2 linked regions of the Anolis sagrei genome follow. The protein of the gene in region 1 interacts with the protein of each later gene in a pairwise test. Links are inferred from orthologs where the notes say so. Each region holds a gene or a part of one and is shown on either strand. Other genes may lie near its edges.

Evidence for each region.
Region 2: the proteins of CSDE1 (region 1) and HID1 interact in binary tests that used the Homo sapiens proteins (3 or more experiments, as listed by UniProt). The two-hybrid records come from large-scale screens. The link is inferred for Anolis sagrei from reciprocal best matches to the Homo sapiens genes CSDE1 and HID1.

What each region holds. Positions count from the first base shown.
Region 1 is NC_090024.1:203,342,493-203,350,450, forward strand, and holds the start of CSDE1 (cold shock domain-containing protein E1), read right to left. Parts: upstream 3,062-7,958; 5' UTR 2,953-3,061; intron 1-2,952. UniProt on the Homo sapiens protein: RNA-binding protein involved in translationally coupled mRNA turnover.
Region 2 is NC_090022.1:116,956,569-116,964,551, forward strand, and holds the start of HID1 (protein HID1), read right to left. Parts: upstream 3,035-7,983; 5' UTR 2,742-3,034; coding exon 2,676-2,741; intron 1-2,675. UniProt on the Homo sapiens protein: May play an important role in the development of cancers in a broad range of tissues.

The sequences.
Region 1 (7,958 bases):
GAAAATCTGGTTTAATAAATGGTAGCTACATAAAGAACGGAGGCATTGACACGATCCATGAACAATAGCATGGTATTTATATAGACACCTACTAAAGGTTTTTATCCAAATTAATTTGAATATAGGCTAGCACCCTAAAATTAGCTGAATGACATAGGTAATTACTATCAGGAGATATAGGGAATTAATAGCCAGAGATAACAATACATAACAAAAGTGGAGCTGGTAATAAAAATAATTTGGTATTTATTTTTTTGTAAGTCCAACTTCTCTGAACTGGAAATTTCTCTGAATAGTTTCTCAAAAGATCACACTAAAATATTCTAATAATGGACAAAATTTAGAACAACTGAATTCAGTCGAAGTTCCAGTATAAGTTATAAAACAGGGGTTTAATTCAAACAAGAATAATGGTTTAGTAAAAGACAGAAGTAGACTTCTTTGCCATTCTAGACCAAACAAGCAAATTAATTACAAATGGGCATGGGTCAAACCAGACAAATACAAGGCTCATCAACCAATGGTTTAAAATATATATTTTAGTATTTTAAGGAGCATACTGTATCCAAATAGTTGTACAAGGTGGGTCAAAGGTCACAAAGGTATCTGATGTTTACTTTATGAAAATGTTTTTAAGAGAATTTTTCACACAATGTAATTTATTTCCTATATGTATCAGAGCTTTCCAAACATTTAATATTTGTGATACATGTTCCAAACATGCATCATTTTGCAACACAATAATTCAGTTTTACTAGCAAACCAGATGTAAAACCAAGGGCCCTTCCAGGATCTGATCCTAAGTTTTCTGTTTATACCAGATTATCTGACAGTGCAGACTCATATAATCTAGAAAGCAAAAAATCTGGGATGTGATTCTGGAATATTGGGCCTGTCTGGAAGGGCCCCAAGAAATATAAAGACACACAAAAACTGGAATAACGAACCGTTATGGGGACATATCTTTAATTTGTATTTCTAAAATATATATGATTTATTGCTTATTTCACATAGACTCCAGAGGTTTCTCATTACATTCATGTGACATACTAACATGTCGCAACAGACAGTTTTGATATCTCTGCTGTATATGGTATTATAAATTAAAAATAAAACAAAAATGAAGGCATTGCTACATATTGAAACCCACATGTAACTTTTGGCACGTTCAATAGTGCAGGCATGTGCCAACTTGGGCCTTCCCTCCAGGTGTTTTGGACTTCAACTCCCACAATTCCTAACAGCCTCAGGCCCCTTCCTTAAGCTTAAGTGGCTGGGGGAGAGAAAAAGGCCTAAGGCTGTTAGGAATGTTGGGAGTTGACGTCCAAAACACCTGGAGGGAAAGCCCAAGTTGGCCCATGCCTGCTCTACAGAGTGGGGCAAAAGTTTCATATGGGTTTCAATATGTAGCAAAGCCTTCATTTTACTTTTGTTTTTAATTTATAGTAGCCTATACAGCAGGGATATCAAAACTCTGTTGCGACATGTTAGTATGTCACACAAATGTAATGAGAAACCTCTGGAGGGAAAGTCCAAGTTGGGTTGTTGTAGGTTTTTTCGGGCTATGTGACTATGTTCTAGAGGCATTCTCTCCTGACGTTTCGCCTGCATCTATGGCAAGCATCCTCAGAGGTAGTGAGGTCTGTTGGAGCTAGGAAAATGGGTTTATATATCTGTGGAATGACTAGGGTGGGACAAAGAACTCTTGTCTGTTGGAGCTAGGTGTGAATGTTTCAACTGACCACCTTGATTAGCATTTGATGGCCTGGTAGTGCCTGGGGCAATCTTTTGTCGAGAGGTGATTAGATGTCCTTTTTTGTTTCCTCTCTATTGTTTTGTTGTTGTAATTTTAGAGGTTTTTTTTTAATATTGGTAGCCCAAGTTGGCCCATGCCTGCAGTATGCATAAAAATATGACAATCCTGTTTAATTTACATTGTTTTACTTGTCACCAGTCTCAAGAAAGCCTTCTGCGATTTGAAAGGGCTACCGCCGGCTTCTCTGGAGGTTAAATCTAAAGGTTTCCAGTGACCAGAGTGGCCCTGTCTCCGTCTCTACTCGTTAGGCCTGGAGTGGCCATTTCGCCCCGCAAAATGCAGCATCACACTGTCAAGCGCCGAGGCACATGGTCCTTGGGCAGCAAGATGGTGGCTCCTGCTCCTGCTGAGGGGAAATCAGGGTGGGGGTCCGCATCGGAGGGAAAGGGACGCCGAAGCCCGGGCTCGGCGCGCAGGGACGCCACAACGCCGGCCTCCGGACGCCGTGTGAGGGGCTTGCAGGCGAAGGCGTTCCGGTTCTCCCTCACAAGGGCCTGGGGCGTGTCCCTCTCTGGCCAAGATTGGGGGGAGTGAGTAAAAAAAAAGGAAAATGGCGCCCGCTCCCCCTCACACAAAGGAAGATTGACCTGCTCTTCCCCTCCCTGCATTGGCCCGCTGCATGCCGGGAGAGAGAGTTCGCACCCCTCTCTCCGCACCGAGAGGCGGCGGGAGCCGGAACTCCATCCCCCAGCAGGCCAAGCGGCGAGGCCCCTGGCAGGCACACTCCGCCGCCGCTTTCAACACCACGGCGCCGCCAAACTCCATCCCCCATCGGCCCCCGCGGGAGGGGAGGGAGAGAGCAATGGGCAAAGACCCGCAGTGCACGCCGGGAAGTGTAGTGCTGCCAAGGCTCGGGCCCACTGCGAGCGCTTTCTCTCCCCGGCTGAGGCGAAGGGGAAAGAGGCAGCACTCCCAGCCCGCCGCGGCCTCCCTCTCCTCCTCTCTCCCTCCTTCTCGGGGCAAAAGGGAAGCGAGCGCGCACGCACGGCGGGAGGGGAAGGGGAGGGGGAGCAGCCCCTCCGGACCGTTGGCGCCCGGGACCGCCGTGACAGGAGGCCTACCCAGCTCCCCCGCCCTTTCCGGCCTCCCCCCGAAGCCAGGGAAGGCGCCCCCCGCCCTCGAGGAGCCCCGCTTACCCCAACAGCTCAGCGCCCCCGCTCCAGCGCCGCCATGAGCAGCACGGCACAGCACGTAGGAATAAATCCCGGCTTCTCGCGAGACTCGCGGGGCCGGGGAGGGAGGGGGAGAGAGAGAGAGAAAGAAGGGCGGGTGGGCGCATGCGCGGAAGAGCGGGGCGATTAAGAGGAGGGCAAGGCGCGGTGAGGCTTCGGTCGAGTAAGAAGGCAAGGCGCATGCGCACGCAGATTGGGCCAGAAAGGCGGGAGGGAGAGGTGCCAGGGAACGTGACATGAGTTGTGCCTCTTGAGCCGATGCCATATAACAGCGTTTCTCAACCTGGGAGTCGGGACGGGGGGGGGGGGGGGGGCATCAGAAAACACAGTATTTTCTATTGGTCGTGGGGATTCTCTGTGGGAAGTTTGGCCCAAAGAATGCTCTTCGATTGTAGGTGAACTATAAATCGCAGCAACTACAACTCCCAAATGTCAAGGTCCATTTCCCCCCAAACTCCACCAGGGTTCTCATTTGGGCATATTTAGTATTTGTGTCAAGTCTGGTGCATTGTTTGAGTCCACAGTGCTCTCTGGATGTAGGTGAACTACAACTCCAAAACTCAAGACCAATGTCTACCAAATCCGTTAAGTATTTTCTGTTGGTCATGGGAGTTCTGTGTGCCAAGTTTGGTTCAATTCCATCGCTGGTGGAATTCAGTATGTTCTTTGATTGTAGGTGAACTATAAATCCCAGGAACTACAACTTCCAAATGTCAAGCACTTTTTTATTCATTTATTTATTTATTGTGTCAGGGGCAACCAGACAGTTGTATTACATTTCTAACAGAACAAAACAAACAAACAGACAAAACACAAAATGTGCAAGCTTGGTAGGAATCCTCTCCATTGCTCTCTTGCTTCTTAAATCTCCTTTCCTTTCTCTATTCCCCTCCCCCCCCCCCCCCCCAAAAAAAAAATAAGGGAGGAAATGCTCTCTCCAAAACAGAGGAAGGGGAGAAAGAAAGGTAGATAGGAAAATGAGAGGGAAGGAAATCATGAAATGTGATATAATGGTTTGAACCTCAAGCTGTGGCTGTCAATCCGAGATCAGCCGTGTTTAGGGTACTGTATTTATTTCGTGTTAGGGCAGCCAGTCAATTATATTACATATTACATTTCTAACAGAACAAAGCAAACAAACAGACATAATACAAAATTTGCAAGCTTGGTAGTTTATTAAATGTCCTTTGACCAGTATCTGGCCACTTGGGGTGCCTCTGGTGTTGCCACAAGAAGATCCTCCATTGTGCATGTGGCAGGGCTCAGGTTGCATTGCAGCAGGTGGTCACTGGTTTGCTCTTCTCCACACTCGCATGTCGTGGATTCCCCTTTTTTTGCCCCGTTTCTTAAGGTTGGCTCTGCATCTCATGGTGCCAGAGCGCAGTCTGTTCAGCGCCTTCCAAGTCGCCCAGTCTTCTGTGTGCCCAGGAGGGAGTCTCTCAAAAAACCTCTAATATCAAGATCTACATAAATAAAAATTTAATGTTTGTTTTTGGGATTAAGATAACTCAAAAACCACTGGGTGAATTGACACCAAATTTGGACACAATACACCTATCACACCCAACAAGTGACCGTCACTCATAAAAACACTGGAAAACATAGCGGAAGAGACTTAAAAGCCAAAAAATAAAAATACATTATAATCTTCCTAAGATTTAGGTGGAATCTCTTTTCCTGTAATTTGAATCCATTGCTCCATGTAGCACCTCCAAAGTAGCAGAAAACAAACCTTCTCCCTCTTCCTTATGAAATCATTTGAAATATTGAAACATGGTGACCATGTCCCCTTTTAGCCTTCCTTTCTCCAAGCTTCCTTTCTCCTTTCACCCAGCTCCCTTGGCCACTCACAGGGCTTGGCTTCCAAATTTTGATTATTTTGGTTGCCTTCTCTGAACATGTTCCAGCTTGTCAATATCCTACTTGAATTAACAGTGTTATTTCAGGTGAGGTCTGGCCAACTATATGTTCAAATATATATGACCAAATATATATATTCAAAGCCTGCCCCATCTCAGCTATATGAAGGCCATCTCAATGCTCTAAGAATTGTGGCTGCATAACATATAGAGCTGCATCTAGTAACAAACAAGCCCAAATCTTACTCCAGACATGAATTAACCTTAGGTAAACTGTTGTCTTTTAATCTGCTTCCTCCAGACTGCAACATGGGCCTAATACCAGGCTACCTGGCAAATTGTAATTATGCATGTTGTTCATTCGTTCAGTCGTCTCCGACTCTTCGTGACCTCATGGACCAGCCCACGCCAGAGCTCCCTGTCGGCCGTCACCACCCCCAGCTCCCTCAAGGTCAGTCCAGTCACTTCAAGGATGCCATCCATCCATCTTGCCCTTGGTCGGCCCCTCTTCCTTTTGCCTTCCACTTTCCCCAGCATAATTGTCTTCTCTAGGCTTTCCTGTCTCCTCATGATGTGACCAAAGTACTTCAACTTTGTCTCTAGTATCTTTCCCTCCAGTGAGCAGTCGGGCTTTATTTCCTGGAGGATGGACTGGTTGGATCTTCTCGCAGTCCAAGGCACTCTCAGAACTTTCCTCCAGCACCACAGTTCAAAAGCATCGATCTTCCTTCGCTCAGCCTTCCCTAAGGTCCAGCTCTCACATCCGTAGGTGACTACAGGGAATACCATGGCTTTGACTAGGCGGATCTTTGTTGCCAGTGTGATGTCTCTACTCTTTACTATTTTATCGAGATTGGACATTGCTCTCCTCCCAAGAAGTAAGCGTCTTCTGATTTCCTGGCCACAGTCTGCATCTGCAGTAATCTTTGCACCTAGAAATACAAAGTCTGCCACAGCCTCCACGGTTTCTCCCTCTATTTTCCAGTTGTCAATCATTCTTGTTGCCATAATCTTGGTTTTTTTGACGTTTAGCTGCAACCCGGCTTTTGTGCTTTCTTCTTTCACCTTGATTAGAAGGCTCCTCAGCTCCTCCTCGCTTTCGGCCATCAGAGTAGTGTCATCTGCATATCTGAGGTTGTTAATGTTTCTTCCAGCAATTTTCACCCCAGCTTTGCATTCATCCAGCCCCGCACATCGCATGATGTGTTCTGCATACAAGTTAAAAAGGTTGGGTGAGAGGATGCAGCCTTGCCGTACGCCTTTCCCAATCTTGAACCAGTCTGTTGTTCCATGGTCAGTTCTTACTGTTGCTACTTGGTCCTTGTACAGATTCCTCAGGAGAGAGACAAGGTGGCTTGGGATGCCCATCCCACTAAGAACTTGCCACAATGTATTATGATCCACACAGTCAAAGGCTTTAGAATAGTCAATGAAGCAGAAGTAGATGTTTTTCTGAAACTCCCTGCCTTTCTCCATTATCCAGCGGATATTGGCAATTTGGTCTCTCGTTCCTCTGCCTTTTCTAAACCCAGCTTGAACATCTGGCAACTCTCGCTCCATGTATTGCTGGAGTCTTCCTTGCAGGATCTTGAGCATTACCTTGCTGGCATGAGAAATAAGGGCCACTGTACGGAAGTTTGAGCAGTCTTTCGCATTTCCCTTTTTTGGTATGCATATGAAATAATAAATGCTGCTATGTTATCTTAATTGGTTTATGTTTTAGAAGACTTCCATTCATTATGGTAGAACTACTGAATTAAATAGATCAATTGTCTGGTCCAGAGTAAGAAAGATCTATGGGTCTGTGCATAAAGGAACCTATCCAAATTTATTTCAGTCAAATTAAACATAACACACAAAAGTATTGAAAACATAAAACTGCTGTCAAGATGTCCAAATTATATAACCCTCTATCCCAGACTATTTCATGTCAAAAGCATTGCGTAAATAAAACAAGTATAAAACTGATAAAATAGAGGGAGCACAAGCAGCTACATAATTTTAGACCAAAAATGGGCAACAGCAACCACATTGTCTGCAGCTTTAAACAATTCTTCCTCTGTGCATGAGGCAGAGCATTGTGGGCAAGCATACAGATGCGGAGTTGTTTGTTCTGCCCCACAGTCACACAAGGTGGAGGATTCTTTTAGGTAGTGCCATTTTGTCAGGTTGTCTTTTGATCTGCCCACTTCACTTCTGTGTCTGTTCAGGGATTTCCACATTGCCCATTCTTGGTTTGCCCCCAACTAGAATAGATATATATTGTTCTATGAAATAATGAAAAGGCTGAAACTAGAAAGCATCTCCAGAAATATAACTCCTAAATAATTGTGACTCTTCAGTGTGGAGTGCTCCAAGGCTGTAGAACACTATCACTCAAACATTAAGCTTCAATAACTCCCAGGCGAGGAAATTAATCTACAGTCAGACTTACTGCATTGAGGCAATACCCATAATGACAGGAGATCAGGTGAGTGATTTGCCAGGTCAAGCAAGTTGTAACATCTCTATTAGGGCAGTGTGACAATGTGTGGCATTTAGGGAATGACATTACTGCCTTTTTCTTAAGACATGTACCCGGTAACATGGCTGAAGAAACCAGTTGGACATTTATCTTAGAACTGAACTGAAGGGGATTTCCTCTCCCCAGAATCGTAGAAAAAGCCACCGAGTAGGGCTTTTTGCTAAAACACTGATTTCCTGGAAACCATGCTGTGCCTCCTAGGCTTTGATGTCTTTTGTTGAAACACTGCTTTTTAAATCACTGGCAGGGCTCCTTTAATGCTGGAGTCAAACTAGAGTTACTCAAAATCACACACTGAAATTAGTTTGCTCAAAACAGACTTTGTTTTGAAATCAGGTTGATGAGAGCAGCCCCCAACATCTGGGGATGGGGACAGGAACAGTTTTTGTGTAAGAAGAATTTGAACTTGCTTCAGTCAATGATCACCAAATCTTAAGTCTGAGTGTGTGCATTCAGACAAACCCTTAACTGTCAACTACGTTGCACCAAACTATCGATATTGCATCTGAATCTGGCACATAGATTTCTGTGTCGGATTAATAAAAAGCAGGGCTTAACTAGATAACAATGTCTCTGGAAGTATTGAG
Region 2 (7,983 bases), on another chromosome or scaffold:
TGTACATGAACCTGACTTAAGATTTAAGTGCAATCCAACTAAAAATAACACATTTGCAGAACTCCTCCAACAGCATTGCCATCCTTGTTTTTCAAACTTTCATGAAAGGATTACCATAGCTATCATGGAGAAGTACAAGTTTAAGTACCTCTTATTTGGAGTACTTAGGATCAGAAGTGTTTGGGTTTTTTTTAATTATTATTATTATTATTATTATTATTATTATTATGAATAGCTGTATTTCCATATACAGGCAGTCCCCGAGTTACAAACATCCAATTTGCAAACAATTCATAGTTAAGAATGGGGGCGAGACAACAGGAAGTCAAAGAAATCTATCTCTAGGAAGGGAAATTCACTCTTGAAAGAGTTACCATGAGAAAAATGTGTCTCCACTGAAGCTTTATCACCTATCCTTGCTTCCACAACAAGCCATATTTTTTTTCAAAATCCAGTTATCAGGGACAGAAAGTGAAGGGAAATCTTTTAAACAGGGGTACAGAAAAACAAACAGCTAAACAAACACCACAGGGTTGTTATCACTTCCCTATGCTATCCCTGGAGTTACACTTTAAAAATGTACCTATTCTGACTTACATACTGTATAAATTCAGCTTAAGAACAAACCTAGAGAACCTATCTTGTTCATATCTTGGGGACTGCCTGTATGTACACAATGAGACAGCTTGGAGATGGAATGCAACTGAAACACAAGATTGATTTGTTTAATATACACATTATACACATGCCGGAAGGTAATTTTAATAATTTGATGCATGAAACCGACTTTGTGTGCAGTACACTGAACCATCAGAAAACAAAGGTGTCTCTATCTCAGCCACCTATGTGACCAGTTTAGGATTTTGGAATATTTCAAAATTTCCAACAAGGGATGCTCAACCTGTATATAGTGAGGAATCAAATAGCCGATTCAACAAATTGGATAAACATCATAAAATATCCCTTACAGTGTGCTGATAGGAAAGGACTTGAGCCTTCAGTCTCACTTTTTTTTCCTCCTTCAGTGACGTCATTTGTGACAGGGCTGGTGTTTGCCATCAGGCATGATTACAACATATTACCTGAATGCATCCTTCCAACTTCCTCAGTCTTTCTCCCCATAGATAGCCTTCCCGCCATCGCCTGCTGAATAGCTCTGTCCATAAGGGTGCATATTCTACACTGTAGAACGAATGCAGCTGGACACCTCTTTAGCCACCATGGCTCAGTACTATGGCATGGAGATATGAGAGCCCCCAGGGGTGCAGCAGGTTAACCTGCTTAGCTGCTGAACTTGCTGACTGAAAGGTCAGCGGATCAAATCCGGGGAGCAGGCCAAGCTCCCGCTGTTGGCCCCAGCGTCTGCCAACCTAGCAGTTAGAAAACATGCAAATTCGAATAGATCAATAGGTACCGCTTCTGCAGGAAGGTAATGGTGCTCCATGCAGTCATGCCGTCTGGGTGCCCAACCACCGTCTCCCAAAGCAGTTGCTCCAAACTCAAGAATGGAAAACAGAATGTTGGTGGGCAGGAAAAGAGATTTAAAGATGGGCTCAAAGCCAACCTTAAAAACTGTGGCATAGACACCAAGAACTGGGAAGCCCTGACCCTTGAGCACTCCAGCTGGAGGTCAGCTGTGAGCAGCAGTGCTGTAGAATTTGAAGAGACACTAATAGAGGGAAAAAGAGAGAAAAATGCCAAAAGGAAGGCACATCAAGCTTACCGGGGCCACCTTATGCTCGGAAACTGATGCCCTCACTGCGGGAGAACATGCAGATCAAGAGTAGGGCTCCACAGTCACCTACGGACCCACCGCCAGGACACCAATCTTGGAAGACAATCCTACTCGGACAATGAGGGATCGCCTAAGTAAGTAAGCTGGCCACATGACCTTGGAGGTATCTATGGACAACGCCGGCTCTTTGGCTTAGAAATGGAGTTGAGCACCACCCCCAGAATTGGACACAACTAGACTTAATATCAAGGGGAAACCTTTATCACTACCTATGAGAGGACTTGTCACACATCTTTTTTCCTTCAATGACATCCTGGGATTCGCATTTGGGGAGGCACCAGAACTCTTGGGCAGGTAAGGCTAAAACCCTTGGGATTGAACAGAATTGAATGGTGGCAGTCAGAGCGGAGTCACACTGCATTCATCCCACAGTGTAGACCAGGCCTGGGCAAACTTCAAACCCTCCCTCCAGATGTTTTGGACTTCGATTCCCACCATTCTTAACAGCCTCAGGCCCTTTCCTTTTCCTCCTCAGCCGCTTAAGCGGCTGAGGGGGGAAAGGAAGGGGCCTGAGGCTGTTAAGAATGGTGGGAATCGAAGTCCAAAACACCTGGAGGGAGGGCTGAAGTTTGCCCAGGCCTAATGTAGATGCCTATCACGGCCTGAAGCTCCCAGAAGGCTCCCAAATCCCAGCAGGGCCTGAGGCTGGCCAGCCTTGAAAGGAAGGCCAGGGCAGCAGGCAGAGGGATCTGCTCAGTTGAGCTTTGGGGGCTGTGGATGTGGCCTAGGAGGGAGGCCAGAGCAGCTGTGAAGAAGGCAGGGCCTGAGGGGGAACAGAGGCCTCAAAAGAAGCACCTGCCTGGGTCCCACCGTTATTCCTGAGGAGGCCAGTCCCCTTTAAGATCCCCACGCCCTGAGCAGGTGCTCCCTTGAGCCATACCTGGGTCTTGGTGGTGAGCTGGATCACCGCCTTCCTGAAGTTGAGCTTCGAGTCCGCGTTCCCCATCCTCCTGGATCCGGGAAAGCAGCCGCCGCCTGGCCCTGCCCGCCTCTAATGGCCCTCCTCCTCCTTCCCCTCTCCTCCTCTCCACGTCGCGGCCTTGCCGGTCTCCATCCCTCACCTGCTCTGCCTCCCTCCCTCCTGTCAGATGCGTCTCCCGTCAGAGAGGCGGCTCGGCTCCTCCTCCTTCTCCTGTGTTCCCTCGCTTTTCTTTCCCTCAGGGCGGGCCGGGCCTCCTCCCTTCTCCTCCCCGCCAGAAGCAGCGGGAAACGCGGGGTCGCTCTGCCCGGCTCCCTCCATCCGCCTTCCTTCCTGCCTCCCTTCCCATTTCCCTCAGGAGAAAGGAGGTGGGCTGGCATCCCTTCTACCGCCATAGCTCAGGGCCTTTCCACACAGCCATGTCACTCACAATATCAAGACAGGAAAATCCCACCATATCTGCCCCTTCCACACAGCTGAATAAAATCCCACATTTTCTTTGAACTGGAATATATGCCTTTGTGGACTCAGGTAACCCAGTTCAAAGCAGATATTGTGGGACTTTCTGCCTTGATATTCTGGGTTATATGGCTGCGTGGAAGGGCCCTGGGTTATCTAAATCCACACTCAGATAATGTGGGATTTTCTGACTTGATATTCTGGGTTATAGGGCTGTGTGGAATAGAATCATAGAATCAAAGAGTTGGAAGAGACCTCATGGGCCATCCAGTCCAACCCTCTGTCAAGAAGCAGGAATATTGCATTCAAATCACCCCTGACAGATGGCCATCCAGCCTCTGTTTAAAGGCTTCCAAAGAAGGAGCCTCCACCACACTCCGGGTAGAGAGTTCCACTGCTGAACGGCTCCCACAGTCAGAAAGATCCCTGGGTCCACACTGCCATATATTCCAGTCCAAAGCAGATATTTTTATTTATTTTGTTTATTATTCAAATTTATATGCCGCCACTCCCCTGGGGCTCCGAGCGGCTTACAAGAACAGGCTAAAATTGAACACAATTTAAAACAATTTAAAAACAGCAATATCAAAGATCAAAGGCCTTGCGGGATTTCCTGCCTTGATAGTCTGGGGGTCCTTCCACACAGCCCTATATCCCAGAATATCAAAGCAGAAAATCCCACATTATCTGCTTTGAACTGGAATATATGGCAGTGTGAACTCAGATAATAACCCAGGGCCCTTCCACACAGCCATATAACCCACAATATCTGCTTTGAACTGGGTTATCTGAGTCCACACTGCCATATATTCCAGTCCAAAGCAGATATTGCAGGATTTCCTGCCTTGATAGTCTGGGCGTCCTTCCACACAGCTCTGTATCCCAGAATATCAAAGCAGAAAATCCCACATTATCTGCTTTGAACTGGAATATATGGCAATGTGGACTCAAATAATCCAGGGCCCTTCCACACCTTCATATAACCCAGAACATCAAGGCAGAACATCCCACCATATCTGCTTTGAACTAGGTTATCTGAATCCACACTCAGATAATGTGGGATTTTCTGCCTTGATATTCTGGGTTATATGGCTGTGTGGAAAGAGCCCTGGGTCCACACTGCTATATATTCCAGTCCGAAGCAGATATTGCAGGATTTCCTGCCTTGATAGTCTGGGGGTCCTTCCACACAGCTCTATATCCCAGAATATCAAAGCAGAAAATCCCACATTATCTATTTTGAACTAGAATATATGGCAATGTGAACTCAGATAACCCAGGGCCCTTCCACACAGTCATATAATGCAGAACATCAAGGCAAAATATCCCACCGTATCTGCTTTGAACTAGGTTCTCTGAATCCATACTCAGATAATGTGGGATTTTCTGCCTTGATATTCTGAGATATGGAGCTGTGTGGAAGGGCCCACAGATAACCCTGTTCAAAGCAGATATTGTGGGATTTCCTGCCTTGATATTCTGGGATATAGGACTGTGTGGAAAGGGCCCTGGGTCCACACTGCCATATATTCCAGTCCGAAGCAGGTATTGCAGGATTTCCTGCCTTGATCGTCGGGGGGGGGGGGGGGGGGGGGGTCCTTCCACACAGCTCTATGTCCCAGAATATCAAAGCAGAAAATCCCACATTATCTATTTTGAACTAGAATATATGGCAATGTGAACTCAGATAACCCAGGGCCCTTCCACACAGTCATATAACCCACAATATCTGCTTTGAACTGGGTTATTTGAGTCCACACTCAGGTAATATGGGATTTCCTGCCTTGATATTCTGGGATATAGAGCTGTGTGGAAGGGCCCTCAGAGGATATGATCTATTGTTTCATCTGCTTCCTTTCAGAGTCTACATTTGGGATCTGTCGCTGACTTTTCAATTCTGGCTTTGATGGCATTGGTACTAATGGCTTGTTCTTGGGCTGCCAGAATCAGGCCCTCCGTCTCCTTTTTCAAAGTTCCATTTGTGAGCCACAGCCATGTTTTTTCTTTGTCAATTTGGCTCTCAATTTTTCCCTGGAACTGTCCATGGAGAGCCTTCTTTTGCCAGTTTTCTCTTCTGCTCTGGATTGTGTTTTTACGGTATTCACTCTGTCTTTTGCACTTGAAGCAGTTTACTACTATTGACTTTCTTCAATGTTGGTTCTTGACTGCCTTTCATATAATCTGCCAGTGCATGTTTCTCTTCTTCTACCATTCGTTTCACTTGCAGAAGCCCTCTACCTCCTGATTTTCTGGGCAGGTAGAGTCTGTCGACATTACTTAGCGGGTGTAAAATATTTTTTTAAAGGAAGAAAAGAGATAAAAGGGAAAGAAGAAAAACAAGTCAAAGTTTACTTCCAATCTTCTCAGCTATTATATAAGCCTCCTCCTTCAATATTTTTATTATTATTAATTTTAGTACTGGTCATTAATAAAAGTACAATGAAAATAAGGAGCAAAAGAGATAATGAAAAAGAAAAAGAAAAAAGAAATCAAGTAAAGTTGACTTCTGACCTCAGCATTACACAAGCCTTCTATTGTTATTAATAAGCAAAAACCTTTTTTATTTAGACAGGCTTTTAAAGATGAAGGTTTTAAAGATCTAATCAGTGATGCTGTGGTTTTTCACTTTGAATATGTTTTAATGGATTTTAACTGAATTTTTAAATACTGTTTATATTTAATTCTGTTTCAATATTCACATTTGTATATTTTAAATTGTATGCTAATGCTTTTATGTAAAGCCGTTTTGAGTATCCTTCAGGAGAGATAAAGTGAGGTATAAATATTGTTATTATTATTATCATCATAAAAAATTATTACAAGTTATGAAAGTACAATAAAAAGTATTTTTAAAGAAGGAAAAGAAAAAGGAAAAGGCAGGGAAGAAGAAACAAATGTTCACTTTCAATCTTCTCATCAGTTGTAAAGCAAGCCCTCCACATCTGCTGGGGCAAGGGGCACAAGACCCTCTCAAAAGTGAAGAATAGCCAAAAGAGAACACTTCTCTATACATTTTTAAGTTCTCCAGAAGGACTCTGTGGTCAACCTCCACCTGAAACGCACTGGAGGACCTAAGGAATCCAATAATGTTGTTCTCTCTTGGAATCTCTAGGTCTTCCAGTGCAGTTCTGTAGTCAAATTCTACTGGATGTGTAGAGTTTCCTTGAAAGGGCATTTTAATCAAATCTGTGAATAAGCCACAAAAGTTAAGCCCACAAATGTGGAGGGCTGGCTGTATATGCAGTGAGTCATTGCCATACCTGAAAGTTTAGTTGCAGGACCGCCTTTGGATTATCAAAATCTGAAAGTGCTCATGTCCCATACTATACAATGGCATCCAGGTTGAGTATCTCTTATTCAAAATGCGCAGGGCCCAATGTATTCTAGATTTTGTAATATCTACATATGCATATATGAAGCTTCTTTCAAAAAGGTGCCAAATCCATCTGGACAAATTTTATAGGAACCGTGAAAAAACGGGCTGAGGATATGCATTCTTTTGCTATAAATTCAGTTTTCCAAGCACTGTACCAGAGTGATTTGATATATTTTGGTAGTTTTTATCTGTATATTGTATCCTACTCCTAACCAACAACATGCTGCTACCAATTTTCTTTTTTGGATGTAGTACCTTTTGGAAACAAACTCCACATAACAATTTATATCTTAGAATATAAATACAATATCCATTATGTTTTCATATACAGTTTATACACACAACCCAAAAGGAATTTTATACACAATATAAAATTTAATAAATTTGTGTATACTGAATCAACAGCAAAGGTGTCACTATCTCAGCCTCCCATGTGGACAATTTTGGAGTAACTGTTGATGGCCTAAAATCCCAGTCAGAAACTTCTAGTGAAAAAGAAAGAATAACAGAATAAAAATATTTTAATTAAATCATAACCAAACTTGTACACCATCCTTAAGCCATGCATAAATGGTTGTCTGCAAAATATATACCGTACAAAAATTATATATTTTCCACAAGTGCACACAAAGCATGCTCACTCTACAAAAGGTCCCAAGTTCCATCTCCACCATCTACAAGCAAGGGGCAGAAAAATATCAGTCTGAAAAGTACCTTGAAAACAGGCTCAGAACTTTATATAATCTCCTCCTGTTCTCTGTCAATGTGATTTCTTAAATTATGAACTAGCTTATTTTCATTCCTCCCTTCCTCAACATAGCATGTATGGTATTTACCCATCTCCTCACTTTCCAATGGGATAACACCTCAACATTCCTCTTCTATCTTAATATATTCTACTTGTCCTTTTATATTTACAAATGAGATTATTTTAAAAGTAGTTAAATAATAGATGGATTTCTTTCCCTTCTCCTTTAATGTATATATGTGTGTGAGTGAGTGCTGAGGGAATTTAAATCCATATTAGCGGCTTAGAAGTGTATAGAACTACAGACTATCAAAGAAGAAGCTTCACTGAATTCAATGGCACTAGAGACAGCATAAGACTGTACTGTTGAGAGTAATGTGTTAATTACTAATAGTAGTTTGTGGTCCAAGGGGACTCATCCTGAAATTTGGTGCACACTTCCCTGCTGTGATCTCAATCTGCTCAAGGCTCAAAGCCTGAATGTGATTTTCCTGCTTCTTGGCAGGGGGTTGGACTGGATAGCCCATGACATCTCTTCCAACTCTATGATTCTATTATTCTAAAGTTGCTCTACCAGTTGTGGAATATTGCATTTCCATTTTGTCTTCCTATATATCCTACTTTAAAAAGGTTTTAAATAACCAAAGGCACCAAGTCCTGCCTGATCTTGGAAGCTAAGTAGGGTC